4 linked regions of the Drosophila melanogaster genome follow. The protein of the gene in region 3 interacts with the protein of the main gene of each other region in a pairwise test. Each region holds a gene or a part of one and is shown on either strand. Other genes may lie near its edges. The genes, in order: CG8507, Tsp86D, CG9040 and tx.

Region 1 (7,701 bases), on a different chromosome or scaffold from region 3:
TCATCGGACACAGTGGCGTAGTGAGAGTCATTAACATCACGCGATAATGTAGGGTTCCTGTTCGAGGGCTTCCCAGGTGGCTGTTGGGCCAAAATGTTGGCCAGCGGCTCCCTCACACTAATGCTTGTGTATCCCTCTGTGGAATAAAACATTTAGCGATTTGACATTATCTCCATTTTTACAGACTTACTCGACGAGTCTTGTGAGTCCCCGCTAAAATGTGGATTGGCGATGGGCGGCGTCATGTAGGGAAGATCTTGGCTAGCCGAAATCATGCCTGCAATCGCAGAGGCAGCTGGAATCTCAGCCTGCGCCGGCGCTGAATCATTGTGCTCTCTGGAGCCTTCGCTGTGCTGTGAACTGCGGTGCATTGGATCTATACCTTCGCTGGAGGATCCGGCCACCACCGCCGCCGCCGCAGCTGCTGCTGTAGAGCCGTGGTTGGCCGCATGAGACGTGGATGGGGCATTCAGCTGGGCATAGGGATGTTCGGTGCCCCGCACCTTGGCGTAGTCGTGCGGCAGACCCTTGACCCGAGAGTACGGCGAACTTACATCATCCGCCTGGCTAATAGAGCTGTGCTGCGACACGCTGGTCTGTTTCTTCATGCTTGGCTGTGCTGTGGGTGTTATTAAAATCGGTATTAAGTATGAGCTTATTTTATGGGTTTAAAATACAACTTACGACTTTGGCTACGGGCATTGCGACCATCTACCATTTGCTTGTCCGCCACAGTTTCATATAGTTCGGACCCATTATCATTGCTCTCGGCCACGGGAATGTCAGGCAAACTGCGATGGGCTGCAGTGCTCGACCTGGAAATTGGTTAAGGATGCGTTATTTCCAGCTCAGTTATGTAGACAGCAAAGAAATGGGGACTTACCGCTTTTCCGAGTCCGCATTGGACACCGTGGAGGCATTCAGCTCCGCCTGGGACTCGCTGTTGCCCACCAGATTGGTCACCACAATGACCTCATCCGGATTCTTCAGCTTGACCATGCCCTCCAGGCCCATCAAGTCATTTCTGTGGAGTTAGAGGGTATAGAGAGATTGGCGAGCGACATGAGTGCATCCAACTGGAACTGGGCGGCGTAGTGTTGGAGAAAGAGACCCACTTTCACTCTCTCTCTGGCCTGCACCGCCCTGTTCCCGCTAGAGCCATCGAAACGATGTGGATCCTCTGATCCTCTGGGTATTGGGGAGGACTTACTTAGGGATCCGCTTCTTGCAGCAGAGACAAGCGCCCAGCATAACGATGAAAGTGAGCGTCAGGCTGACGGTCGCCAGGAGGTACGTGTACGAATTTGGGGCCTCCAGGTGCAGTTCCGACGTCGACGCCTCCACCATGCCCATGTCGGTGTGTGTACATATGCACTATGTACCCATAAAGCGCTGGCACCGACCGCTGCACATATATATATTAACTTTTTAAACTTTTCGCTTAGCTAATATTTTCTTGTTTTTTGGCCCACCAAACGAAACGACAACAACAATAATGCGACTGGCATGCGGTCATACTAGGTGCGGTCCTACTGGGTGGAGGGAAATACGCGTTTTGTGCCTGCTATCATATGGTCACACTAATTTTATCGTTTTTTTTAACGGTTTATTCTTAACCCTATATTGTACTTTGAATATATTACAAATTTATTTTTTCCACATTGAATTTTTTAAAGGTCAAAATAGATTGTATATAGTTCAAAATTAAACTTGAGATTTTATTTATGTTCAAATGATATTTGGTATCAAAATTATATCTATGCTGAATAGCAGCAAGAATGAATATTTTTGTGCGTTACACAAACAGTTGCAATTAAATCTAATTTATTCGCTTGGCACTTTCAGTGTTTCACTTTCAAATTATTAAAGCTCGGTGTGCTTGAAGATGGTTTTTTCAATGTTCTCCTGGAGCTTCTCCACTTTGCGAGTTTGCTTCTTCAGCTGATCCTCCATTTCCTCAAAGCGGCTGCTTTTGTCCTTCACTTTTTCGCCCTATAAATAATTGTTAGTTGGCTTACAAACTTGATTGATATTAAGAAACATATACCTTGTATTTCTCCTTTTGCAAAGCATGCTCGGCATGCAAGTGACGCAGCTTTAATAGGCGACTTTCGAAGTGATGCAATTCGGTTTTAATGGACTCCAGTTCTTTAACCGTAAAATTGCTAGCCTGGGCCACTCGCCATAGACCCTGGACCTTGGGTTCAATGAAGTCCTGACTGTGTGGACCGGAGGACACCAGGCGTTCCAGCCTATCGTAGTGATCCTTGATGCCCGTGTGATGTCCTCGCAGAGTGTTAAGGTCGTTCTCGAAACTCTTCACGTTTTGCGCATGGGTTTTGATGTCGTTCTCATTGACATCATTCGAAATCAGATTGTAGGTGTCCAAGTCTTCCGTGTTAATAGCATCTAACGAGAATAATCAATGAAATTAATTGATGCTTTTCGTGCTGTTTTTAGCCAAACTCACTTTCATGCTTGTCGGTGTCTACGGTGCCAATGTTTTCCAGCAAGCTGTAGTACACATCCACTTTATCCTGGTGATGGTCAAACTCCTGTTTCAAGGATTTCAATTCCTCTGCAGTAAATCCGGAAATCTCGGCCTTCTCCCAAAGTCGGTTGAGTTTCTTGTCCTTGAAAAGACTCTTGTTTCTGTGTCGCTCCTCGGCGTCGTGGAATTTCTTAAAGTTAACTTGGATGTAGAGAAACTCTTGCTCTTAGGAAAGATGATTTAGATACGTACCTTGTAGGGCTTAAGCTTCTCCGTATCCTGAGTGTCGTCAAAATGCTCTAGCAGATCGTAGCTGCTCATGATGCCAATGAGCTTGCGGCGCAGTTCGTCGGCCTTCAGCCCGTCTTTGTCCTTGTGCTGCGAGTTGAGCTGCTTCCAAGCGATCTCCTCCTTATCGTGGATCTTGAGTTCCATGTACAGTGACTTGAGCTTGGGCTCTGTTAAGCGCTGTAACCGAGGTTAGTACGGTTAAATATGAGATATCTTATGGTGTCCACTTACATTCTGCGCCTTGGCCCACACGAGATTCAACTTGGCCATGCGAAATGGCCGCTGGATGCTCTTAAAATCCGGATCATACTTCTCCTGCTTTACTTGCTGAAAATGCGGGTCGTTGGCCTCCTTGCTGTACTTCTTGCTCTGCTTTTTGTCGGCATCCACGCCCTGCAGTGCAATAAGTACGGAAAGTGCGATGGCTGCAACAACGAGAGCTGACCTAACCATTTTCCTCGTGGTTTTTATTTCGGTTTTAAAGCTTGCAATTATTGGTGCAGTGCTGACCTGGCTAAACAGTTATTCACAACACGCAGTGTGGCCATCTAGCGATCGCATAAAGCTTTGGTGCTGACAGTCTAGCTTTTATTTTATTTTAATGCTTTGTTTTTCGCAGTTACGATTTTTGATCTTGGTCAATTTACAACAATTTGTTTGATTTATTTGATAAAGATGTTTAATAAAAATAATTCAATTTGCAGTAGAAGTGAAGAAAAATCATAAAAGCATGTTTGTCTAATAAATATAAAGCTACATTTTCCTGAAGTGATAAGTAGATATTGCAGCACTGACGTGACGCTGTGATGTTGCTAACTGGACTTGGTCACACTGCCAATTTGCATCAGCCGCCTTACCACGAAATTGCGCTGAATTATAATTATTATCGAGTGCTTACTACCTAGGAGTGATTACATTGAGAAACCAGGACAATGAGAACGGAGGCAGCGGTCAGTTGTTTCCTGTTGGTATTGCACAGGGTATGCTGTCAGAGCGGCAACGATGAGTCCTGGCTGAGTCCGGATCCCGCCTGGTCGGACCTGGTTAACGATATCAATCAGCCCGGTGAATTGTGCCAGTGTCCTACGTGTCCAGATGTGTCTCCAGTGGCCATGGAGGATGCCGTGGCACTCACATACTTCAAGAAGTTCGTCAATCTGCTGTTCCAGCGCAAGCGTTTTCAGGTATGATCGCTGTTTAGACCAAAGTTGGCGACATGACGTCATATGTGTGTAACTTTTGTGTAATTAGTACGATGTTATGTCGGCGGTCCATAAGCGATCGCTGCTCTTCTCCCTGATCCCATCGCAACTGGATGAACTGGAGAGGGTGCAGGATGCTCGGGATTTGGACGTTTTGCTGACTAAGATATTGGAGAGTGCCGAGGAGGCTCCTTTGTTTAATGGAAGATCCGGATGCTCATACGTCCGACACGGCTTTTTCTCCTTATTGGTGGATATTTTCAAGGATGTAATTGAACTGACGCAAACGACCGAGGTACCTGTTGCGCCTTTTTATGGAAACTTGACTATTTGCTATTTAATGGGTTTTCTCATTCCTAGGTGAAATTTATCCTATATGCAACATTAGCAATTGCACTTGTCGTCATTGTGCACAAACGTTTCCGTGTCGGACTAATTTCAATTGTACTAGGAGGCGTGTTTCTGTGCGGATATATTCAGACTTATTTAGAATGCAACAGAGTAGGTCTAGCCTGAAAGTGTGTGAAATTGTGCTCATTATATGTTTATAATTAGGAATTAGACATCGATAGGATGATAGAGGTCGTAAATCATCACCATGAGCCTGAATCGTCCTGGTTTGGTCGACTGTTAGGCTACATATACCAAGCCTCACCAAAAACTAAGAAGATAGAAATGATCAAGTAAGACCATAACATATAATTAAATAAGTCGATTGATGATCGTTTCCATTCAGAAAATCCGCAAAAATCAGCATTTCCATTTGCATGCCAGATCAAGTGTTCTTTATGTACATGAATAACATATTTATCAAGCAGTTGGAAATCATGATAGAAAAGGTGTCGGTAACTATGACTAAACTGTCCTGTAAGTATTTAACCAAGAATTCGCACAGTCAATAATTACCACTTACCACTTAATTACCATATTTACCCATAGCCGGATTATCCTTCCCGTATAACCTCCTTGCACCAGTCCTTTTGGTGTTTTTAGTGGGTTACACCATAAAGCTGTGCTTTAAATACATTTTAAGCCCCCGAGCATGGGCGTCACTTTTACACAAGCCAGCGCCACAAGGGACACCAACGATTCACCAGTCCATTAATGCACGGGCGCCCGAAGGCGACTCCATATCGGGCGACAACTTAAAGATGCTGCTAAATGTAATTAACGTGAGAAATGTTCCAAAGGAGTCGCTACAGCGAATTCCAGACGTTTCGGGCGTCCAAGAGCTAGAGGAAAAGCAGGAAGCTCCCACCACACCATCGAAAAAAGAAAATTTAGATGAAAGCGATTCCAGCAGCAAAAGCAAGAGCAAAAGCTGTGTAGCTGAAGATGAAGGATTCACGCTGGTCGACGATCACGAGGATAATAACATTGATAATGTGTAGCGGCCGCAAACAAACAATTTGTAATTTAAGTGTAATGTCCGAGATTTTTACCCAGTTTATTAGAGACCATTTATGGTCGGCAAATAATTCAATTTTTTCATTTTTTGATTTGTCATAGTTAAATTTTTATTTAAATTATTTTGCATGTACTTAATCTCATTTGCGCGATAAGTGTTATTAAGATAAATCTTCAACAATAAGATCTTTTAAGTAGGCCACGAAACTGTTTATATTTTGCTTGTTATTATTATGATGCCGGCCCTTCAAAAAATCGGATATAATTTTTATATGTAACTTGTTGATCATTTATATTTACAACTTGGCGCTCAGGCGATTATTAATAATAATATTATTAGCAGTGGGCGCTCATTTGTGAGTTGCGTATTAATTGAATGTAAGCGATAATTAAATATTCGGTTTTCGAATCTTGTAAAATCTAATTTAATATGTATACAACTAATATATTTATATATCTATGTATATAGATCTATATAGTGTGTGTATATACTTGTAAGAAAAAATTAGAAAAGAATTTCGGTGTAAATATATTTATTCGTTGTATTTTAAATCATGCACCTAAAATGTATTATGTTTTGATTACAATTCATTGTTATTATAATTCGTATGCAACTAAGTAACTTTACGCATTAGTGAAGTGTACTGTATGCAGAGAATGTTATCCAATATACGGCACATACTGAATAGTCAAAACCCAGTTTGCTGTTCACAATTAAACGTACCTAAACCTAGTAAAACACCAAGCAGAACCCAAAGCACAGGCAGGCTAACTAGAATTCTCAACTAAGGCTGGCATATCGTCGTAATCGTCCAGGTCTATGGCAAACCAAGATAATTTATCTAAATTGATTTCACAAATCTTATACGCAAATTGGTCCGCTATCATAATCTTGATTAATAATTTCTCTACTCGAATTCAACAATTTATTTTGTTTTTGTTAAGATCTAGTGGGTAATGTCCCCCCATCTGATTTGTGTTGGCGGCTGTTCTACTTTTATTTGTCCGGCACTGCTGGACGGCGGACCAGCAGCCAAAGTTACCAGTTTGATGAGCAACATCATAATTAATGTAATTACATGCCCCTCTATTTGGCTAATTGGTATAGCAGCGTTTAAAGCATATCATTCACTTAGTCCGATTGGTAAAATTTAAAAAAACTTATCCTCTTAATATCAAACAACAGCAAACTATGCGAAACAATTTGTTCAACTCCTACGCCTACGACTCTACGCACAAGCCAACTAACTATTTAAATAACGAATACCACAATTGGGAACGGTCTGTGTTATGTTATACGTACGTACGATACATCCATCCATACATACATATAGATAGATAGGTAGGTGTTTTAAAAACAGGCAACTTATATCCCATCTACGCTACTGCAAAAAGTGCACCATATGCTCTTCAAATATCCTTCGATGTACGCGTTACTTGGCTCACACGATGAATGCGAATGCAATTGTACTTAAACGTGATTCTGACTTAGGCTAACTCTCTGACTGATCGATCTGGCTACTACTGAGAAAGTTCAAGCTGCTCAATAAAGTTCAGCAAATAAGTGTAAAATTGTACATACATATTTAATATAATACAAAAAACACAATGCCATTGCGAATTTCTTCTTTCATCTGTTTTACGGACTGTGGGCTGTCGGTGTTGTTGGCCTTGAGTATTTTATACATTAGCTTATATGGCGATCGGGGCGAATCGTCCGAATCGGTATTATTCTGGTTAGGTGGTAAATAGTTAAACAGCAATGATAGTCAGGGGGAGGCATCGGCCATTTTCGGCCAATTGCGGCCACTTCCGTTTCCGGTTGCCTCGCGATGCTCTCTATGTGGCGATCACGGAGAAGTCTTACGTTGATGGATCCATGTAAATATTTTGTTATCATATCGTAGTAGATACAGATTCTATGTCTTTAAGTAGGTACTTTGGCTTTCATTAGAGATATTAGTGTATAGCTTCGTTCGATTTCGTTTCGATATCTGGTTATGGAATGGCTGATGGATCATGCAGTATGTATGTAAGTATGTAAACATTTGATATGTATGCCGTTACGTTTCAGATGCGATTATGTGCAAACTTAGGGTTAGTTTCCGTGGTGTGTTTGGATTAGTATATATGTATATATGTATGCAGTACGTGGTATCGTGTCTCTGTGCGACTAGAAAGATCTGATCGGCTCGAATAGAATATATAACCTATGCAAAATATACTCGTAATCGTAATTGCAATCGTGGTGCGACTTATCCAGTCAGTTCCTAAATACAAGTGTCTCGTTATGCATGTAACTCTATATGT
Region 2 (7,793 bases), on a different chromosome or scaffold from region 3:
ACGAGGCATTCGATCTGATGCACAAGGGCGAGAGTATCCGATCCATTATTAAGTACTAAGCATGAGATAACAATTCTTTGCTTTTCACTTTTTATACAAGTTGGCAATCGCATGCGATTGCTTAAAATAATAAACTCCCAGTGTATATGTACATAAGAGTATCTTCATTGGGGGTCGGATTACTGTCCCTCTCGCGCTTACTCCTCATAATTGCTTGGATTTGCTTATCTGCACTGCCCCACTAAATCTCGAAGTTCAACAACTTGGAATTGTTCGAGATTGCGGTTACTTAATACGTATGTATATTTCAAGAATTTCGCAACATTGTTATAGATTGATAGAGTTATCTGATGACCCAAACTAAACTCACTGCCGGACATCCCCTAAGGCCCCGAAAGTTGTAGATTAAAGGTCAATCGTAAGAACAAGATTGGAATAACCAAGTGGAGCGATAAGACAGGTACTTTGTGCTGTTTTCACCATATGAAAAAGTCACGATTACACGTATAGAATGCCTGTATTTAAATACGCACTACAACAACGTTTGCAGACAAACACGCGTACAGATACTTAAAAATGATAATAAGTCTATGTATCTAGTATGTTTTTCAATTTAACAAACATGCATGCAGTTTTGGTTTCGTCGTTACATATAAATCTCATTTTAAATGCATATTTCTTATGGAACTCGCTAGCTTATACACAAGTGTCTTTTAAATAGTCTGATATTGCATACGTATAAGAGTAAAACTTTAGATGTGTTCGACTTTACTTGTGACTAAGAATGCGCTGACGTTTAAAAAACATACAGAGCAAACGAACACAAAGGAGTATAAATACTTTTTCCTAAGCCTAGGAGAGTATGAGAATACTATTGAAATACTATTATCGCGGGACATTAGAACTTAAATCTATCGAAAACACAAGAGATGGTATATAGGGAGCTATGGATTATTCTAGGAGTGGGATTCGGTTTGAAATTATTTGAGCACGGGCAGGACCAAAAAAGTCCGCCTCACATCCGCGAATTGTAATACGGGTCGTCTTCGCATGGCGGATATCCGTAGAGATACGGATGGTGGCATTGCACTCACGACCAGCGCGACTTCTGCAGGTCGATCTGTCCCTCCAGGGTCTTGGCCAAATAGATGACGAACAACTGCAGCAAGGCTATGCCCAGGGCAACGCCGGCAATCACATACAGATTCCTCTCGACCCATACTCGCACGATCTCGATGCAGCCGCTGGTCCAGATGCGCTTGCTGGCGGCGGCCACTGAACGCACCTGCACGCCATAGCCACACATGATGTTCACTAGGCCGGAGCTGATATCGGTGGCATTAATACAGCAGCTGTAGGGCACTCCACATCTCTCCACCGACGGCGATGAGCAGTTGAAGTACTCGTTCTTGCCTGTATGCATACGGACATGGAATTAATTCGTTTGTGGCTTATGAATCAAATACTCACTCCAATCCTGGTAGCCGGCGTTGCTCAGGCCGCAGCAGTTAAACTCCTGCTGGGCAAAGTCGATGAAGTTTTGCAAGTCGGAGTCGTCACGGTACGAGTGGATGATTTTGTCCGTGAACTGGTACTCGAGGAACGAGTTCATGTACTGCGGGAAAACGAAGCAGATGATGGCCAGCGACATCTCCAGTATGAAGAAGAGAAGCAGGCACATGGAGTACAGCTTTAGCAGCCAGGTGTTCTCGCGCAGCGCACCCAAACAGCCGGCGAAGCTGACCGTGAAGACGATGACTCCGGCGATGATCATCACCAGGGAGATGTTGAAGATCACATCGTAGATGGTGTCCAAGCGCAGCCAGCCATTGCCGTCCATCAGTTTGTCCATGAAGGCGTACACGCCGATGGCCAGGAGCAGGCCGCCGAAGAGCCAGAAGAGGAAGTTTAGCAGGAAGATCATGTACTTGACGCAAGAGGAAACGTAGCTGAAGTGGTGCGGATAGGTGGAGATCCGCGGGTGCATGTAGTTGCCCCCCTGATGGTATCTGTGATTGCTCATGGCCACGCGAATGTGCAAGTCGTGTTTTCAGCCGAGTATTTCGATGAGTATTACTTTTCCTGGTATTTTTGCCCAGGTTTCCTCCCCCACGGTTTTTTCTTTTTGTTGACGCCCTCTTTGCGTGTGGTCTCTTCAGCGGCCTGCACGGCTGTTTTGCTATAGTTTCGCAGTGCGTCAGTGGTGGACTGTCTAACTCTGGTGTTTCCCCGCAGCGAATATGATGAATTAACGCACTAGCTTAAATTTTATGACTGATAAGCAAATTTATGGAGCCACTAAAAATAACAAAGTGCCCGGCGTTGCCAGACGTGCTGTCCAATTAGGCAGCAGTTGGCAGCGCGGCCAGTCAGCTGTTCGCGTGACCGTACTGCCTTTGTTGCCTATCATCCAGCATTCGATTGGCAACGCGAGCCAGCCAGGTGTTTGATTTTCATCGCGTGCAGCTGTTTTCCCAAGCAGCTTTTTTTGTATTAGTTTTTAATTTTCCACCGCTGCGTAACATTGCGACGCACGCTTGTTTTCGCCCGCGTTTGGCGCATTCATAAACAAAAGGCCAAAAATAGAATCAGCACCATTTAGAGCGCTATTCAGCAGGTGAGTAGTTTTCCAGCTTAGAGAAAACCCAAGGACGCACCATTTAAGTGTGGGAAAATTAAGTGTTTTTTCTTTTCGGTTCTCCGCTGGTGACATTGAAGCACAATTGCGAGCGCATTTTCCCTAATTGAGTTGCGACTTTCTCTGCACTGCGCTTTCTCCTCGCCAAGCGTTCAAAAGCAGAAAAGCGCACGAAAATAGAACGGAAAATGTGGGAAATGTGGTAGACGGAAGTGGCAACGCGAATTGCATAAATATTAGTTAGTACGCGTGGGCAGTGCGCAGTGGACAAAACATTGACTTTTCCTCCTTGCTCTGCTCATTTTCCCCCTGTTGCTGTGCTGATTAAATAACCAGGCAGTGCCAAGTGCAGTTGTCACCTGAAATTAGCCACATAATGTTTGCACTTTCTGCTCGCCACGCACTGCGGCGCACTCGAATATTCGCCATTCCACGCTTTTTCGCAGGTGAGTTGCACTAAAAAGTCGCAGGTATAGTTTGTAATACCTGTGGGCGTGTCAGCCCATGCTCATCGATTGGCCATCGGCTAATTTTAGACACAATTTGAGTTGATTTTTTTATACATTTGCATTCTATATGAACGCAATTTAGCCGCTATTTTCTGACTTTGCTCGCAATGAATTCATTGTCTTCAATTGCCCGCGACACACTTGGCTGGCTTTTCTATTGTTGCACTCGGAAAAACCGAAAATAAAAGGTGACTGCTCCACCTACGCTATTCGATTTTCGGTTTTTTTTTCGGCTTTTCCTTCGCCTTCGTTTGCTTTGGGCGCCACTCCGTTTGATTGACGGCGGGCAAGCAGCATAAAAAGCCATAAAACTATTTTTGGCCCAATGCGTTTCTCCACTCCATTTGTTGGCCGCACTTAACAAATCTGTTTACACCTTCATTAATTAGCAGGCAAGTTTGTATACAAAATTGGTGTTACTAATTCCCTGGATGCACAACTTTGATTTTGAGTTTTCAAGATTGTTAACAAATTGTTTAAGAAAATGATAAGTATTTTCTATATTTTGTACGCTATATATAGCTTTTGTTTAATATTGGAATAAGAATATTTATGTATATATTTCCTTATCAAATTGGGTTCCAAAAATGCCAAAAATTTTCTTCATATAATTCATTTTCATAAATGGTATGGTATCGTTTGTATGAGAAAACAAGATGATTATGAGTTTCGAGAAAGTATTTTCAGCAACTCATGGCTGATAGTAGTAAGCTTCTTATCGTCAGATGGCCGCATTCAAATAAGCGAGTTGAGATTGCCCAAGGTTTCGTTGAAAGTCCCACCGATAAGTGGGCAGATTATGAGGGAAATCTTACAGAAGCTTGACGAAATCCCCTACTCAGTTTCCATTACCCAACTGCTGGCGAACCGAAAAGCACACTCAAACCGACCCGACCGCAAATCAAATACCAAAGTATTGTATTGCATTCCAGATTCACGCCAAGACAGCGACAATCCGGACAAAAGGTATTCCGGACCAGCAGCGACTATGGATAACAAGAGCGAGAAGGTTACGGTGAACAAGGAGGAGCTGCGCAAGCGCCTGACCCCGGTGCAGTATCAGGTTACCCAGGAGGCGGGCACCGAGCGACCCTTCACAGGTGAGTCTCTCCTAACAAAACATGCAGCCATAAGCCATTATCAAGATGGAACGCCACCCCTCGAACAAAGTGCATTCAATTCTGATTCCCAAATGATGGAATGCAATGTCCACAGGTTGCTACAACAAACACTACGAGAAGGGCGTGTACCAGTGCATCGTGTGCCACCAGGATCTGTTCAGCTCGGAGACCAAGTACGACTCGGGATGCGGATGGCCGGCCTTCAACGATGTCCTAGACAAGGGCAAGGTCACGCTGCACCGCGATGCCAGCATACCAGGTGCGTATTGGCCAGGCGGCCCACTTTTGGCCAAGACCTTGCTCGGCACTTTTAGCTGTTGATTATTGCAAAGCGTTTTGAGTTATGTTTTTATTTGAGTTGCTGTTCCGTTGCCGCACCCAAGAGTTGAGAATTTCATTTGCGTTTATCCACCTAGGAGACAATATAACCCAGACTAGAGTAATTATTCGCCTAGTTGTCATGTGTGAATAAGAGCAATCATAAGATTACCAAGTTTATAAAGAAGCCTTGATAACGATTAATTGTAGAGTTATATAAGCATATAAACATATACATATGTATATTTCATATTTTGGTATGACCTTCAGCTTGATTGTTTTCCATTTCTAAAGAAAATGGTGTGCATAAGTCATTGTAAAGAAATAAAATCATAAAGTGAGATGTTTATAAGAAGAGGCTTATTAGTTAATGGCTTAATTAAACCTTATAAACCCATTAGCTAATATTATTCATTTAAAGTCTGTGCTGTTTGTGTTGCCTTGTTTGTTGCTTTGTTTCGTGTTTAAAATCTGATCTTGAACCCGACCCCAAAACTGTTCCACTGCCCAGAGTTCACTGTAGTTGTGCCGTTGGCCTTGCCATTGTTGTGTTACTGTGTTTAGTCTTGTGCCGGTGATTTGTGACTAGTGAGTGTTCCTGCTGCCGTTGCAGCACCTGAATGTGCAACAAAGCGAGAAGAAGCGACTAAAATTGATTCCTAACCGAGTATTGTGTTCTCTTATCCCACTCTTCTATCCCGCCTGACTTTCTCAACATTTCTTTCTTTCTAAAAAAAAACCACATGAAATACAACTAATGCCATATCGATTCCACCCGAATATCACCCACGAGTATCACTTGTAAACCGATTAAACCAACAGTAGTCATTTCGAAAACGCTAGGCATGGTGCGCACCGAGGTGCGCTGCTCCCGATGCTCCGCCCATATGGGCCACGTCTTCGATGATGGACCGCCGCCCAAGCATCGACGCTTCTGCATCAATTCCGCGTCCATCGATTTCGTGAAGAGTGCGACGCCATCGAAGGCGGATCCATCGACGGCCTCGTCCAAGAAATAATGACCGATCTGCCTGCTAACCACAAGGAATACCATTACACCCGGAGGAGTAGCCCCATATAGACCAGCGGTAGATGCTACTCCGGGTCTATAGAGGGCTGCAGGTCCAGCAAAGAAAGATATTTAGCTATTTTATAGGCGTTTATTATGCAAAACTGTTTAACGAACAAAAAAAAACATAGCTTATACACAAGAACGATGTTTGAAAATGTATTGCGGAACGAGGAGTGAGAGTTTAGTATTGTAGTTCAGCCCAGCAGATTCCATTTGCTATATACTTTTCCTACTTTTACCCTATGTATGTTTCGGTTTCAAATCTCTATCTCTATATTATAACTTTATAAAGTTTACGAAAGTTTTATGAACGGAAATGCGAGTCTACAGTTCCTGGCCTGGGTTTATGCACTCTTTTCGGTTTACAATCTCACTCACTGTGTAGATGAACTCTACTTCTCAAAAGTATCTCCCCTTGCATTCTCATCGTATCTATAGGATATGTATATTGTACGTTAATAAAAATTAACCCATTTTGTAGGAACTTACGTGCTTAGCAAGAAGTTAAGTTTTGCGCAAGGTTATCATTTATTTTGGGATAAGACGAGGGTTCCTTTAGTTAGTTTATATGTTTTTCTTTTCGGTTAAGTGCAATTTTCATACATATTTCGGTTTTGAATCTACATAGATCATTGAGCTTTTTCCACATACCATATTTCGATCATTATACAAGGTCGATTGGATTTATTTTTGGGCCAGGGCCATTATGTGTATGTCTGTGTGAATGTGGTGCTTTTATTTTAAAATATTATTTTCCGGTGCTGTATTTGGTTATTTGTATGATTTCGATTTACGTTTTAGTTTGTTGCTTTTTACTCACGCTCAATTTTCTTTTGATTTCAATAACATAACCCGAATACTTTAACCAACATTATATCCATAAACTATATAGAGTGTTTTAAACAATCCAAATAATGTGTATTTTCGTATATTTTCTATTTCTCTTTTTTTAACTCGCTTCAAAAACAAAAAAAAAACTAAATGTACAACGCCTGTAAACGTTTTTTGGGGGTTTGTTTTGCTAACCAAAAACACGAAAACATTTAACTCATCGCTGAAATTATAACACCCGAAAAAACGACACATGAAATGCTTAATTAACCAAAATAACATGTACGCCAAATCGTTCGGAAAATCATCTATATTCCTGATTCGTCAATTATTTTCACCGGTTTATGTGACTTCATTTCATATTGTTTCACCTGCCACCCATTGTTAATTATCGCTCTCTCTCTCTCTCTCTCTGCTGCATCTCCTCCTTCGCTCTCTGATTTGCACTCCCATTTATTTGCCGTTATTTCTTCGCTCTTTTCTGTGATTCTTTCTCTGCTTCACATTTATCACCCATTTCACAATCAATTTTCTATTTCTGTTTGATTTGTTTACACCGAAAAACTTTGAATTAACCTTGCAAAACGATCAAAAAAATGAATATATTGTAAAAAATGTCAACAAAATGCGCTACACAACAAAAAAAAAAAACAACAATCAAAACGTATCCAATTAATCCCACGAAATGGCAAAATACAAACTAAATAGGGGGCAATATTTTACTACTAATCGCACATCCAGAACGTATACGCACTGAGGTCCGCTGCGCCCGCTGCAACGCCCACATGGGTCACGTCTTCGAGGATGGTCCGAAGCCGACCCGCAAGCGCTACTGCATCAATTCCGCCTCCATTGAGTTCGTGAACGCGGATCCCGCCACCTCGTCCCCGCCCGTGGCCACGCCCACCGCGGCGCCCATTGCCCAGCAGTGATGCCGAGGATCAACCGCCAAACGGAGGAGGCAAGCCTCAGAGTGTCGTTGCTGTTAAGAAATTTTTCTACGTGTACTTTCTAACTTTCCGCAAATGTGGCCAATTTTAGCTCGTAGTCAAGTCAATCGCCCCTCTGTTTGTGTAAATAGCTAATGTTTTGGTTCGAAATTTGTTCGTTAATTTATACAAACCCAAATACCGAATACTCTGTAACCCCACACATTCAACACAGTACTAATTTTAAAGTGAGCGCGCTAAATAAACGTGTGTTTTTTACAATAAAACGGTGCTTGCATGTGTTGTGTTTTTGCAGTTGTCACTATTAATTTGAACGTAGTTGTTAGTGCCGACCAGGTGAGAACGGAACAGCTG
Region 3 (6,705 bases):
ATATATCTAATCTATATGCTGAGCAGCAATAGCAATATCTTACGTTTGGCGCAACCCTTTATCAGTCCAAGTTGCACTGGGTAGTTGCGTTCGCAGCTGCAGGTCTGCGAATCCTTGTCGCAGGATACGTGCAGCAGCTTGACGTCACACTTCAGCTCGTTGCACGGCGCTCCAATATATTTCCCCTTAGCTGCAATGCGCAAACCCAATTTGCATTAACAATTAAGCCATCTTTAAAAGAATGCAAATTAAATGAATGTCAGGCCATCAAAACGACCAAAAGCCTTTTGCACAGTTTAAGGACTTATTGAGCTTTGCAAATGTGTTATATATGTAGAGCAGCCTTATTTGAATATTCCTCTTAATTGGTATTTAAAATCAATTGGTGTTGGAAAAAAATGTGTGCACATGTTTGCTAATAAAGTGTGAAACTATAATATTTTACAATTGTAACAAGTACAAGTTATAAATTGAATTTACAATGCACTTTTTTCAGAAATGTGCCGAGTAATTTACTAACAGATTATCAAATGTGGTAAAATATTTCGTACGTTTATCAGAATTCAGAGTGTTTACTCAACCGTAAATCATAAAATTTAATTGTCTTCATACAAATATCAAATGCAATTCTCTTAGAATCAAATATTATAGGCTGGCACATTAACAACGCAAATTACCAAATTTGTCAGAAATAAATTGAATGTTCATATTAGGTGCAAATATGCATATATGAAATGTTACTATCAGCTTGCCGTTGGCATGCAAATTGGATCAAAATTGAATATTTAATTGCACACCGAATATCAATTGCATTAAAATCACAATTCTATCTGTTTGCACATCCATGCTGTTTTCCTACTATTTTTTTTGGAAAAACTTATAATGGGCTACCAGCGTGTGTTTTCGTATTTGGTAATTCCCGCATCATGGCCAAGATAAAATGGATGGGACCGTGAATCATGCAGTTGCAGCTGCTGCGGCAGATGCGGTGCCAGGTGGTCAGGATGTGCCAAAAATAAAAGTTAAACAAACAACCATGAAAGGACCCGAATGGCGACTGGATGTTGTGCAATTTATGGCTCTCATGATCTCGGCGGTTTTTGGACTTGGGACTCCGGAACCGAGCAAAGGTCAATGCAAACTAACGAAACGCAGCGACGGCCAAGTGCATTATCAACAAAAATTCCATTTATTTCGGTTCGCAAGTGCAGCAGCCACAAATATTCATTTACGAAATGGGATTAAACAAAGCGGCGCACAGATAAGTTTTCACAGCAAGTACTTGTATTTAAGGACTTAATTAAGTAACTGGTGTGTATATACATTTAAACAAAAATAAAAGCTGCAGAATTGGAATTATATGTACAACGAAAATACATGCAAGTTATTTTATAGTTATAGAATTTGGGATTTCTTTAAACATATTTATCAATAGCTTTAAAATAGATTTTAAAATAAAATGTAGTGATTTTTGAACCCGAACCCACCTGACTTATTATTAAGCAAGGCCTCCAATTCGTCGACGTCGTCCGGATAACTGCCATAGTCGTCATCATCAGGCACATTGGCGGCATCACGCTTCCGCGTGCGTTTCTCGGTATGCTCATGCTGTTGCTGCTGCGGTACGCCATCCAGATCCATCGTGCTGGAGATGTTCAGCAGGATCGGAATGGCGGCCGAGTCGGAGGACGTGGCCAGGACAGAGGCGGACACGGAGGCGTGGAGCAGGAGAAGGCAACCGTAGAGGAGCACGGCCTGGCCCAGTTGCATGGCCATCAAGTGGCAGCCGTGTGGATGCAGCTGCTGCTGTTTTTGATGTTGTTGCGCCATCAGCTGCAGTCGCCGCAGTAGACAAGGCAACGTTAACTTCGCCATTTTGTCATTTTCGCACCGCCAGCCGCTTCTCAACACATTCGCAATTGTTTGCGAACTTTCGCCATTTGGCCAAGAAGTTTCCGTTTGCGTCGTTAGCAGTTTCAGTTTATGTTATAGTTTGCAGCTCGAGTTTCGGTTTTTGGTTTGCGTTTCCGCTGCCTCAGTGGTTTATAGCTCGCTTTGGACAAATTGGCCAAACCCCGGTGCACATTACGTATACGTCATGCTGCACATTACGTATACGTCGCCGGCCGCTGTTGTTGCTTTTGGTGCTGGTGGTGATGGTAGTGGTGCTTCTGCTGCTGCTGCTGCTGCTGCTCCTGATGATGATGTTTAGCCTTGTCCCGCCTGCCGTTGTCAAGTGGCCAACTAGCTAGCTGCCTGCCCTGCATGATAATTTTATATAATTTGCCCCCGCTGCCACAAATCGGCTCGAGTGGCGCTTGTTTTTGTTGGTTTTACTTCTACCGTTGCCGTTGCGGTCAGCAGCGTCATCATCTTCGAGTGACCCACTAATGTGTGTTGCATGTGCAGCACCGCTGCACGTCTGCCGCCGCCTTCTAGTCGGGTATTAATTCCATGCAAACTGCAGATTTATGGCACGAACTTTGCGAATCTGGGTTGGTCCTCTTTCGGTCTGCCGCGGCTCGTTATCCCGAGCTGAAATTGCACGGAAAAAGGTCAAACATATAAATTTGTGCTTTCACTAAAATAACCATAAATAATATGAGTAGTGCGTGCCATCACATTAAATAATCACGTAGATTACGCGTTTGAAAACGTTTTCTGAAAGTGAACGCAATTTTAACTGCGTGTAGATAAAGTGGATCTATAAACGTTCGTTTTATATTGTAGACGACAAACAATATATTATTTTATTCCACAACATAAAACGTTATATATCTACTTGATTTATAAAAGTATTTACAGGTAACCACCAGGGGCTAATATTATTATCTAAAATTTCTAAAACAAATTGATAATCAAAAAAACATCTACACAGCTGGCCCAAAGTAAACGAATGTGTGTTTGTTTAATCATATTTACTTTTGATTCATGAAAAACGAGATTCGACTGATATGTTGGTATATAAACCAGAGGATTGAGCTTTCTTCGTTTAGATCACAAAATCTCCCCAAAACGAAAATGAAACTTCTTCTGGTTCTGGCATTGGCAGTCTTCGTAGCCCACGTGGCTGTGGCCCAGACAACTGATTCGTCTGACGATGGAGATTACTCTTACGATTACGCTGATGACAACGATACTGCCGGTAGCTCCGAAGACAACACTGCTGATTCTGGAGACACTAGTGATAGCTCCACTGACGTCGACAGTGGAAACGACTCTGGGGACGTCGATTCCTATGACGACTACGAGGGCTCTAGCGATGTTACGGAAGCACCAACTGCTGCTCCAGTTGTCAAAAAGAACAAAAGAGCTGGTGCCAGGAAAAACAACAGGAACAACAAGAATAAGGCAGCAGCTAAACGTCGCAATGCCGCCGCTGCCAAGAAAAGTAATAACAAGAAGGCGGCTAAGAAGCGAACACCTGTTGCCGCCAAGAAGCGGGCAAATGCTGGACCCAACAAACGTAGGCGCTCTGGATAAATCCAGTTTATTATATTCGTAGCTACAAATTATAAAAATAAAAAATTATACCAAAAAAATTTGTTCCCAAAATTACCAAGATTTTTTTCTATGACGTTTATAAGTTAGGTTTTGAATTAATATATAATAATGATAATGATATTTACCAAGAATGTGGTTGTTGGGTATGGGTGTTTATTATTATGAATTTTGTACAAAACTTGAATATCACAGAAATTTTGAAATATATTTAACTATTTCACCCAATGTTCAAAAGACAAGAAAACATTCTACATAAGTTTTTATCGGCACGTGTTTTTTCCCTCATTTGTAAATAAATATATTTTTGATAAACAAAAACATACACCGCATATACTTGAAAAATTATATAATTTTAAAGACGTTTAATGTCATATCTATTTTTTCTATAAAACTACTAGCAGGTCGCCTAACGCGTAAACCATAGACAAATTGTTCAAAAATCCAGATAAGACATTTGTGACCTTGGCTCTTTTAATATAAAAGAGTTTATATTACTTTTTCGTGCTCTAACACAAAATATAATTTCATAATTTCAACATATAGCAATCGAAAAATGTTAAACAAATACAAGCAGCACACACAGGTGCTCTAAGCCACCGAAAATTAAGACGATGAATTAAAAAACCAATATTTGCATTCTACAGATGTACATAGAAAAATAATGTAAAAAAGCTTTATATATTTATAAATTTCTTCAGAGGAGAAAAAACTATAAATACCCAGTGTTGAAGACTTTTAAACTCAGACGTTTATACCTAAGGTTACCTATCTGTTCGTTGACTCTATAGATACAAAAAAAAAAAGATGAGGCTGCTGTTGGTTTTAAGCCTGGCCATATTGGTTGCCTTCGTAACGGGTGCTGATGACACTGACGATGACTATTACGATTATTACGACTATGGTGATGACTACTATGACGACTCTGATGTAGAGTCCAGTTCGGAAAGTGGTGTTGGTGCATCCAGTAGCTCAGAAGATGATGCTAGTACCTCCGAGGACAGTTCCTCCGGCGAAGCTTCCGATACAGGTAGTTCTTCAGAAACTTCTGGAGATGGTTCCTCCGCCGAAACGACCTCCAGTTCAACTCCAACCAAGGCAGAAAAAGCCAAGAAAACTGCTGCACGCAGAGCTAGACGGCGCAGGCGCACCACCACCGCTGCTCCCAAACGCAAAGTAGCGGCAGCCGCGTCTGCCAAGAAGCAAACACCTGTTGCCCAAAAGAAGAAGACACCTGTGGCAGCCAAGAAGAAGGCGAATACTGCCGCCAACAAACGCAAACGCACAGGCTAAGCAGTTCGAAAAAAGGATAAATTCCCCATAGTCACTGAAAGTTTTTACATCAAACTTTTAAGAGGACCAAGAGACATCTTGTAGAATCTACATTAGTCTGGGAATATTTCATATGTTGTTTTCTGTACAAAAAATCCATATAAAAATACAAAGATAAGGAGACGTTTTGTAATTTACCAAAAATATACATTATTAATCCAAAATATACAACAATTTTGTATTTGAGGGCTTAAATGATCTTTCTTCGGAGAGAAACTAATCATTACAAATCGTTTCTGAATACTTAAAATCGAAAGCCAACTAAAAATCAAGTATTCCTTAAAAGGAAAAAAATTTTTTGAACGAAACATTCATTTAATAAACTGTTGTGGTTTATATACAAGTCTCTGCAGCCAGATTAGTATAAATCGTTCTAGTGGCGTAGTATTACCAAAGTCAGCTGCATTTTGCTGCATATTTTTAGGCGCCCACATTTACATTTACCAGCGCTTTGGCGCATTGTGTTTCTATTTAGACGTAAGCCAATAGCATCTATAAATAGTAATTATGCCCTCATACAAGTAGACATAAATGCACAGGGACACTTAATTACTGATGCGCACAGGCGACAATTGTTTAATGGCGAAAGGATAACGAAAAGGGAGGAGCCTGAGTAGCGCCATCGGCCACCACAATGGGACCATTGTTTTCGATTTCAATGCCGACATTCTGGCAGTGGCACTGCCAACAGAAATCCCGTGTATCCAGTGCACTGCGGCCCAGATGAAAGCCACTCCGCATCCAAGTGTTTGTGTTTGCCCGAGAGAGATCCAATCTTCCAGTGTGCTGGTGGCGGCAAAGCACACATCCATAGACACAACCACACTCACACACCGATGTTTCCTCTTGTGGCACCCGCTGGGCCGCTTAGTGAGCCAAGTGTGGCAACAATCTGAATCATCGTTTTAGTTTCCACCCTACATCCCCACCACCAGATCACCAGGGTATGAACCGATTTGTGAATTCGCCGGGAATCTTAGGTTGGGATGACCAGTCAATAACAATATCAAGCAGGAAATGGTTGCAAATTATCGAAAATTCTATGTATCTACTAGATTTGGTGTTATCTACGCAAATGTCTAAAAGTTGCATTAAATTGTGGATAACTTTGATTTGATTTATACATTCTTATATATAATTTTATTTTGTTAAAATCCTTTTTTTATTATAATAATAAAACAGCTTTGATCCTGAATGTTATAAGTATCCTATTTCAGGATCCGCCAAACTAGCTAAGCTTTTACAGGGTATTACACCACACTAACACCATTGGCAATTGTAGGCGATGGGCTGACGTGGAATCAGAGGGGAGGTGGGAGCGGAGGATAAGGCTGCTGTAATATCTGTGGCTGATGCCTTAAGAGGAAAATGCGATAATGTGCGCTAAACAATGAACAATGCAGAAATGGCATAAAAATAGCCAGAAGTGGGATATGAAGTGGGACACAGCGGCGGGAATTATAATGGAATATGTGTTTGCCTCCGAGGATGATAACGGCCAGGATGATGGCGGTCGGTGGTGTTGCTTTGGTTAGCACTCACAATGATGTGATGATGATGGCAAGTGCCCGATATATGCAGATTGTAGGTGTGGCTGCTGACGTTGATGGGCACCTTTGAGGAACAGATCGTCACATTTTAGATACTGCTTTTGACATTTACATGTTTTGCAATGCAAATCAGATGGGGCACAGACTGGGGCTAAATGAATTGGAAATTTAAAAATGACGACCATTTATTTACATAGGTCTCGCAAACAATCTTTTCAATTATGAGACAATCTTGTCCATGTTTGTGAAATATGGATAAATATTTAGAGCATTTCCTTCACATACATATTTTTATCGTTCTTTACTAGCTAAATAGTTCTAT
Region 4 (8,677 bases), on a different chromosome or scaffold from region 3:
GGCCGAGCATATCCATTATTCTTCATACACGATTAGTTTTCGATGCTCGGATGTTAGTCGTGGTTGCGAACGCTTTTCATGGCTAATAAGCGTTGATTGATATGAACAGGCTACACTATTGTACCGAAAGTGATCCATGTTTATGTCAATGGGTATTTAAATCAACGTTGGATTAGCATATCACAGATCTGCAGCTGAACTCTTATATTTTTCCCATACAATAGACAAAAGACAATGTACTCAATTAAATAACAAACAAATATATTTTCACATTATCATTTTATGTTCACTTTAATTTGTAATAGAATTACTTAAACGCATCATTAAAGATTTCAGCAAATAAATATTACATTTTGAGCATGCACAAGTTAATGGTAATGCAATAAAATTCCATTCATACGTTGCTCAACCAATTAAATCGAAATACCTGCAGCATTGACAAATAAAAAGCACTTAAAGAGTTAATTTCATTTATTTTTATGTTAATCGCATTGCAATAATTGCCTATTGTCAATCCGTGAAAGTTAACAAAGTAACTTTACTATGCCATTCATAAGTCTACCAACTGATTCATATGCCCCGCACCCACGCGACCCTCACTTATGCAAATCAGCAGTATCACAGAGCTCACGAAAATTAATTATCACTAAAAATGAGACGAATAGAAAAAGGTAACGTAACCGAGCTGAGGAACAACAACTTAATCGCCTGGCATTTCCGCTCGTCCAATTCCACTCGAAATAGCCAGCTTCCACTTCCCAAAAGCCAACAAGAAATACAGGCAGAACGAAAAGATAACCTGTGCAGGTGGTTATGACCGTGAGGGAGCGTGGGCTGGCCAAGTCGAGTGTATTTCCGCTTGAAAGCGGCAATAACGATATTTGTAATAATAAATTTACGTAAAATATAAAACAAAATCAACGTTGACTCAAGACCCAGTCGCCGCCCACTCAGCGACACCAACGCTTTTTCGAGGCTGCAGACAAAGTTAACAGCCGACAAGGTAGCAACAGTACACACAAAACAGCCAGCTCAGAAGCTTGGCCCGAAGCCCCACGATGCTCACAATTAGCCGAGTCGAGAGAGTTTGTATACAAAAGTCTCTGCTTTCTCACTGCTTTCCCGTGCGATGGCCATAAATGGTCGCAGACACGTCTCACAGACTTCCTTAGCGGGATCGCCGGCCATCCAAGTGGGCCAAGAGGGAAGGGGCTAATAGCTGATGGCTTATAGCGTTTGGGGCCCCCCTTTGATCGAACTTATACTGGGCATCGCGCCTGGCTTTCTGACCATATTAAGGCAAATGCGATTTCCGAAGCTGGCAATTAAAAGCCAAAGCCAAAGCTGAAACTCAGAACATTTGCATAAGCAATTGAGCGACATGGCAGGTGGAGCAGGGGCATTATTCACGCTCAAATTAGATTAAAAGTAATGACAATTAACGCCATAAAATTCTAGTACTTAAGTAGCAATTAGTTAAACTTATATAAATTCAGTCTTTACAAGCATGCATTATGGCAATTATTAGTGTAAAAGTGCGAGAAATTATTTAAAACTGATTATTTTTTAAAATGTATATATTTTATTACCACGTTTTCAGCCCCTTTTGGCCATGCCCATATATTTTTGGACTTGGTCACAAAACAAACATTCAAAAGTGACGTTTGTTTTTTTAATTATGGCTCGCTTATTCATGTTCTTGTCTTTGGGAGTCGTCGTCGTTCGGCAGATTAAGCTGTCAGCAAAGAAACACAACATTTTGGCCACTTTGTATGTATTTTTAAATACGCTCAGTTAATCAAAAATATTCGTACATATATAATTTGATTTTCAGCTCCCTTCGCACGCAAATCAAATTAATGTTGCATGCGTTACTTTTCCACTCTCCTAAAATGTGTGACGACCTTGTGCCATGAAAAATGTATGCTTTCTGGGCATGAAAAAAAAAAGAATCATAATCAAATTTAACTGTTGTCATCATGATTTATTTACTCAAGAACAAAACACGACAAACGATGACGAACTCGCCTTCAGACAGAAGACAGAAGCACAAAGATAAATTAATCGCCAGTCAGTCACAGAGTCGATCGGTCTATTGCCCGAAGTCATTTATTCACAAATGCTCGTATATGAGTATATCGGGGCAAACTCGAGATTTAAGCCGGGTATGTCGTCATAGCTACAATAATGAGAAAACAACTTGTTTTGCCTGCAGGAGCAAATCCATTTTGCAATTATTTGCCTGTTTCAGTTAATTATAATTATTTGCGAAGCAACAAAATGCAAGCAAAAACAAACTATACAAACATGACTCTAAACAATATTCTTTGTTGAAAAATAAAAAAAAATCGGGTTCCAACAACTGAATTGTGACTTTGAAATCAGCTTAGCACTTTGAAATTAGACGCTATGTGAAAACAACTTGAGAAGTGCACACACCCAATACATCTGAACTGAAACTGATCGAAACGAATTAGAATAAATTATAAAATCCAAATATATGGACAGGAGTCAAAAGCGTCGGCTATCAGATACCCATCAAAAATATTTTAATTACAATTTAAATTGCTGAAAATTACTGAACACCACGTTTCGAAGAATTGTTATTATATATATTTATATTATCTTACAGGAAATACTTTAAATACTTGTCATGAATTAAAGTTAAAACAACAAAATTCCACCATCCATTCTTAAAACACTTAAATGACAAACAAATGAGGAGATTTCCTTGAACTTTACTTCGACGTGCCTCATAATTCGCCACGAAATCCAAGTTGATCCAAATAAATACCAAGAATGAGTATCATTTATGGTCTGGCAACCAAAGTTCAACCTTAAAAATGGAGATCCGACACAAGTCAAGCTTTGGTAGCTGATACCATCTCAATCAAAGGCGAATAAACATTTTTAACTATTTTCAAGTGAGCTCAAGCAATGTCTGACTTGTACAAATGAATGTCAAGCGCTGCTGCAGCAGCAAATAAAATTAGCAATAAATTTAAATAAATAACTGCCTGGCGATATTAGATCATACGAAATCTCAGGGGGCCGTCTACGCGTACTCGTGGTAGCACTCAAAACACTCGAAACGAAACCGAAAATCCATCCGAATCGGAAATCACTCAAGAGAGTGCGCCAAAGACCAACTGGGACCGTACTATGCGATACAGTACGATACGATACGATCCGATACGATACGATCCCATCCGATCCGGCCAACGCAAAAAGCACCCACACATCGGGTGGATGTGGATATTTGGGGAAAGAGAGAACTGGTTTCTCTTCAATGACTTTGTGCTGAGCTGTGCTGTGTTGTGTTGTGTTGTGCGCTGGGCTGTTTTGTGTTGGCGTTGGCGAGCGCCAGTGGGTTTCTCGGTTTATTGGTCGTCGCTGAGAAAACGAGACTGTGCTGCCTTTTAATGCGGCATTTCATTCATTGATCGTTCCAATAGCGCGCCGCACGCTCAGCGCAGCGGACAAGTGAGCCAAAAGTCCGACTTCCACTGCCATCGCCGCCCACCTGAGCCGCTAACCTGGCTAACGGAGTCAAAGCCAACTGGGGGCAGTAGTCAGCTGATTTAGCTGCCACCGCATCCCAAGCCAAACCAAGTCAGACCATCCCAGCGATCCGCGAGATATATCTATTCAGTGCACAGCCGACAAGCGCAGCAGGCGGACGCAGCGCAGCATTTTCTCCGTGTATTTTCGTATGCCATCTCGGGATATTGGATACAGATACAGATTCCGAGATACAGATACACAGAACGCGAGCGACGCGCACTCATAGATATTTTTAGCAACCGGCCTCACGCACACCGCCGCACACATTAGTACCGCCGCACTGACACACGCGGCTTGCACGTTTTCACGGAAAATCCATTCTTCGAGGCTTTTCCAGCAGGCCCAAGATAAACACAACTCAAGAATGCGCGAAAACCGTACCGAAGTTATTATCAATAGTTAAACCAGCGGCGCAATCACAACCGCAACAACCACAACCACCGCAATATTAATTCAAACCAAAACAAGTTCCAGAAGTTTTTGAGGAAATAAAAACTGAAAACAAACCTTTTTTGTTGTGTTAACATGCCAAATTTATGCATGAGCTAATAACTTTAAATCCGAAAAGAATAAAAAAAAGTCCAAACAAAACAAAATTCAAACAAAGATCGCATATCAAAATTAGTTGGGTGACTAATTAGACAGCGCGTTGTCGGAATTTCAATTTGCATACTTTGGCGCAACTTTAATGAACCAAAAATTAAAATAAAAACATCAACAAATCTTAATCAGAGTGCACAACTGAATTCAAATCATCCTGAAAGACCAATCCCGCAGCCATACATTGTTGGATTTATGAAATCAAAAAGGTAAATATACCGCCGCCATTTATCAGACATAAGCGTTCAGATATAGAAAAGATATAGAAGATCTGCCCGATCTCTTGTTGCCGCCCCAATAAAAATAGACAAAAGGCATTCCTCTGTCCAATCACGTTAGTGGCTGGCAGATGGGGCAGGGCGGGCTTTTAAGAAACTTCTGAAACATTTATTTGTCCAAGGTGTTGAAAAGCCAGATGTGTGCAGGGGAAAATGTTTTCGAGCTGCTCAGCAGGGAAAACGGCGACGACAGCCAGTTGTCAACTGATTTTCAAAGGTTACCGAAGGGAAGCAGCAACTTGGCTGCGTTTGTTTGCGACCAAAGTAGGGGGAACAGTTTAATTAATGTGCAAACAAAAGCTGTGAATTCTCATCATCAATGAGAGTCCCGCTTAACCTGCCACTCACTTTAAATCTGTGATGTGCTAATCAACGCCGGCATTTATTTATTTACTTTCATTTTCGCCATACCATTCGGCAACAAGCACTATGTTTGCCCAAATAATCGAGTAAAATTGGTTTCTGGCAGCCAGTCAATCGCCGATTTTAATTTGGCATTTATTTATTTAATATATTAATATATTATTCATTTTGTCGAAAGCTAAAATAAACTAGCATCTCATGGGCTGACTCAATACATGATTAAAAAATGTTATTCGTCATAAATATTTTATGATTTACAAAAAAAAAATTCGCCAAAAATACACGCATTAATCGAGTCAAATTTTAATGATTTTTCTGCCATGGAAAGGTGCATCTAAAATTAAATTAGTTTATGGACACATGAGTCTATTGCTACCCTATATATACTTGCCTACCTCATTGTTTGCTGTCCCCCTGACCCAAATCTCGATCGTATGTGGGAAAAGCCAGCGCCCCTCCTTGCAAAGAGACTTAAACAATAACAATAGCAGGAATAAATCAAGAAAAATAAAAGTTAGTCGTAGGCAAATGCCAGAGACCTGTCAAAAAATCAAGCAAATCAAAAGCCGATGGGTAATACAAAACCACACAGAAAGCTATCAAAATATAACTCATACGTATTCGTATTTATCCACACGGTGGTGGAAGGGAGACGGTGAATGTAAACACGGCCACATCACACATACGCAGTGTGTGCCAATTTTAATAAACAAACTCAACGTAAATGGAAAATCAAACAAAATCATTTGGCCAAAGCAATGGCAACAAATCAACAGAAGAAAAAACAAAACGAAATAAAAGGAAAGAAGCGTAAAAAAATCAAAAGACGGCAAAAAAAGAGATGGGTAAAATAACAAATAAGAACTTGCCGCAGGCCGGCTAAAAATAATAGCTGCCAACGGTAGCACACACGAGACTAGCATCAGGGGGACGTGCAACGTGCAACTGGCAACAGCCAACAGCACGAGACAACAGCAACCACACACACACACACACGCGCAACTAGCTAGGCGAGCAACAACAAAGGTTATAGACTATAGGTGACTATGTATATAGTATCGGCAACAAAGTCGAAGCCGAATGAAAGATTTTGACGCTTTCCACAAAAAGCAAATTAAGAATCACAAATCGAGGCAGATAAAAAATAGATAGAGCGCTACGAAAATAAGAAAACGAAAATAGTGAAGGAAGAAAATTCAAGTTGCATACAATGAAAACTAATTTTAGAGCTGTGGAAAAGACAACAACAACAAAACGAATCAAAAACACGGCAGGCACAGAGACAATCTGAATCAGTCGGAGATTCCATAGCGAATCGGTCCAGAGGGCAGCTCTTGAAGTTACGAAAGACAAAGCAACTTTGGATTTCATTCAAAAGCAATAATTAAAGTTGAAAGTTTAGTTCTTGATGATGATTTTACTACTTTAGTTACTTTTTCAATTGAAGGATTACTAATATTTATAAATCAAAGTTTAGATCCGTTTACCATGCTAACTTTATCTTGTCAAGAGAAAACATTGTTCAAACTAAGTCATCTACCCTCGTTATAGCAATGCCTCATGTGGTTCAGTTGCTTTTTTTTCCGTGCCCAAGCAGCAGACGCTTCATTTTCCATTTAACCGCACCCGACTGCCGAAATCCTTGAATTCAACAATTCCTCCTGCCCCGATTTTCCCCCCGGAAAACCCATGGGCGCGCAGACAAGCGTGCAGAAAAAGTTCTAAATTTAATGGCTACACCTAAAAATGCAGCGACTGCAACCGAACCAAAAGTGAAGGGCAGACTGCAGAGGGAGGAGGAGCCACTCGCCGGTAGTTTCAAGTGCACTTCGGCTAGGCCTGGCTAACTTCCCCGTCCCCATTCCCATTCCATCTGATTTTCCCCAAAAAAAAAAAAGTATTTTATATATCTGTGGAACGGGCCGACCCACCCACACGCCCCTGCCCCGCCCCTCGACCCCTTCACGCCTCGTCGCACGCACGGCTCGCCTTTTGTCTACCAAACTGTTGGTAAAAGAGAATGGGATCAGGAAAAGGGGTGCACTGAAACAAAATTCTTCAACTGCAAATAATTGTAAGGAAAAAAACTTTAAGAATTTTTTGTTGTCAAAAAGCTCAACATTTTATTTGAATATGAGATCTTATAAATATATCATATAACAAAAACACAACTTAGTTTGATAAGCTGAAATGTTATAAGCAGTAATCAAACATAACAGCTTTATTGTATTTGATTGAACGTATTTCTTTCACATTCCTCCGATTTTTCTCAGTGTCAAAATGAAATGTTGGGCTTTTGTGTAAGAGGAACTGTTCTATGTTTGTTGTCTGTGCATTTCAATTGGGCGCTTTCTGCATTGTGCCGGCGTGTAATTGAAAACTTAAGCAGAGGCACCACCCCGCCCTCCTTCCCCCCCCCCCACCGCTCACTTTGTCCACGAAAAGCGCGCAACAAATTTTCCAATCAACAGAGAACGAAACAGGCCCTATGCACTATAAACTGCGCCCCGCTAACTTCCTGCTCCACTTCCTTGCAGCATATCCTGTATCCCTCCGGTTGCGACTCCGAAAATCAGGAGGCCGCTTGTTGCTGTTTGTTCAACAAACGTTTATTAGCCGCGAATACTTTTAATCGCATGCAATTTGTTGATTGCGGACAGTCGTTGCACTTTCCACGCTTTTCCACCCACCCAGCGAAAAGGCCCACTTTAAGCACACGGAACTAGGTAATTTTCACGTCGTTTTGGACCGGAGGGCGGGAAAATGGGAAAATTGGGCGGAGGGGAGCGAGGGGAGTGAGCAGGTGAACAACGTTTGCCGCCCCTCTTTGAAGACGGTGCACAAATTTTTCTGTGTTGCGCGCTTAATTGCAGCTTGTTTGTTGCATGTCGCAAACTTTTCACGATGCCCTTACAACTCAAGTGGGTTCCACTGACTTGGGGGCGGGTCTTTTAAAGAATGACATTCGTTTCGTACCATGCTTTAAAAATAATGTATTAACGAAATTTATATGTATATAGATATGTAGAGTAGAGGATAGATACTAAGCATATTCTAAAAGCATTTAAAACTTTTTGAAAGGGCATGCAATCCATGCGGATCTTTTCCAACTTAAAAACTTCTTTCTGCTGGGTCTTTAAGCATTTCTTAGGATTGCGTGGTAAAAATTAATTATACCTCGAAACAGGGGCGAAACGCCAAAAGAAAATGCCGGCACGAAGTGAAGAACCTAGCCACGTGTTGAAAGTTGAGGCAGGGAAAGGTGATTTGAATGGAGATTTGCTGGGATTTCAAGATGAGCTGTGCTGAATCTCTTGGCATGCATTCTCTCTGGTTTTTTTTTTTTTTTTTTTTATTGCTGCCAGACAAACAAACATTAACGGTAATCGAAGAAAAGTGCTCACTTAAGGAGAAACACCTCATAACTCGTTTAGGCCAAGCCAAGAGCGAGCTCTGGGAATGGTCAAAGCTATGCAACAAGTGTCAAGCAGGCCAACAACGAGCCAACATGCTGGCAATCCAAGCCAATGCGAGCCGGATTGAATCGGGCAAGGTGGCCAGAATCGTCTAGTGCCAATTTTGGACAATCTGCACTAAATTGTCCATTTAAGTGGGCCCGGCTAAACCGACTAACTCGACGTTAGCTGCTCCCCTTAGATCAACTGACTGCAATCAATCTGGCTGCATTTACACCTCTGCATTCAGACTGGCAAACTGGAAGGTTGGAAGGCTGGTTAGCTGACTAGCTGGCTAGCTGGCAAAATGGCAAACTGGCGATTTATGAGGCCAAGGCACGTTACGTGCAAGGGCGTTAGCATCGATGCAGAAACATTTCTATCTCCATACACATTCGCACAGACCATGTGTATCTG

The links.
Region 1: the proteins of CG9040 (region 3) and CG8507 interact in a two-hybrid assay, tested with the Drosophila melanogaster proteins (one large-scale study listed by BioGRID).
Region 2: the proteins of CG9040 (region 3) and Tsp86D interact in a two-hybrid assay, tested with the Drosophila melanogaster proteins (one large-scale study listed by BioGRID).
Region 4: the proteins of CG9040 (region 3) and tx interact in a two-hybrid assay, tested with the Drosophila melanogaster proteins (one large-scale study listed by BioGRID).

What each region holds. Positions count from the first base shown.
Region 1 is NT_033777.3:9,787,104-9,794,804, reverse strand, and holds CG8507 (uncharacterized protein), read right to left. Parts: upstream 3,323-7,701; 5' UTR 3,236-3,322; coding exon 3,014-3,235; intron 2,960-3,013; coding exon 2,744-2,959; intron 2,682-2,743; coding exon 2,471-2,681; intron 2,410-2,470; coding exon 2,048-2,409; intron 1,993-2,047; coding exon 1,864-1,992; 3' UTR 1,707-1,863; downstream 1-1,706. Other genes in the region: CG8516 (uncharacterized protein), read right to left, coding at 1-136, 191-619, 685-815, 884-1,024, 1,211-1,353; CG12945 (uncharacterized protein), read left to right, coding at 3,715-3,966, 4,034-4,279, 4,345-4,485, 4,540-4,667, 4,721-4,851, 4,924-5,375.
Region 2 is NT_033777.3:10,863,263-10,871,055, reverse strand, and holds Tsp86D (tetraspanin 86D), read right to left. Parts: upstream 2,349-7,793; 5' UTR 2,024-2,348; coding exon 1,471-2,023; intron 1,414-1,470; coding exon 1,091-1,413; coding exon of another isoform or gene 1,016-1,090; 3' UTR 501-1,015; downstream 1-500. Other genes in the region: Fdh (formaldehyde dehydrogenase), read left to right, coding at 1-59; SelR (selenoprotein R), read left to right, coding at 3,015-3,084, 4,080-4,247, 4,363-4,527, 7,198-7,421.
Region 3 is NT_037436.4:13,983,634-13,990,338, forward strand, and holds CG9040 (uncharacterized protein), read left to right. Parts: upstream 1-4,244; 5' UTR 4,245-4,308; coding exon 4,309-4,794; 3' UTR 4,795-4,993; downstream 4,994-6,705. Other genes in the region: CG17364 (uncharacterized protein), read right to left, coding at 44-190, 1,488-1,875; CG17362 (uncharacterized protein), read left to right, coding at 3,022-3,483.
Region 4 is NT_033777.3:26,437,364-26,446,040, forward strand, and holds the start of tx (taxi), read left to right. Parts: upstream 1-3,414; 5' UTR 3,415-4,373; intron 4,374-8,677. UniProt on the Drosophila melanogaster protein: Probably plays an important role in the differentiation of epidermal cells into the tendon cells that form the attachment sites for all muscles.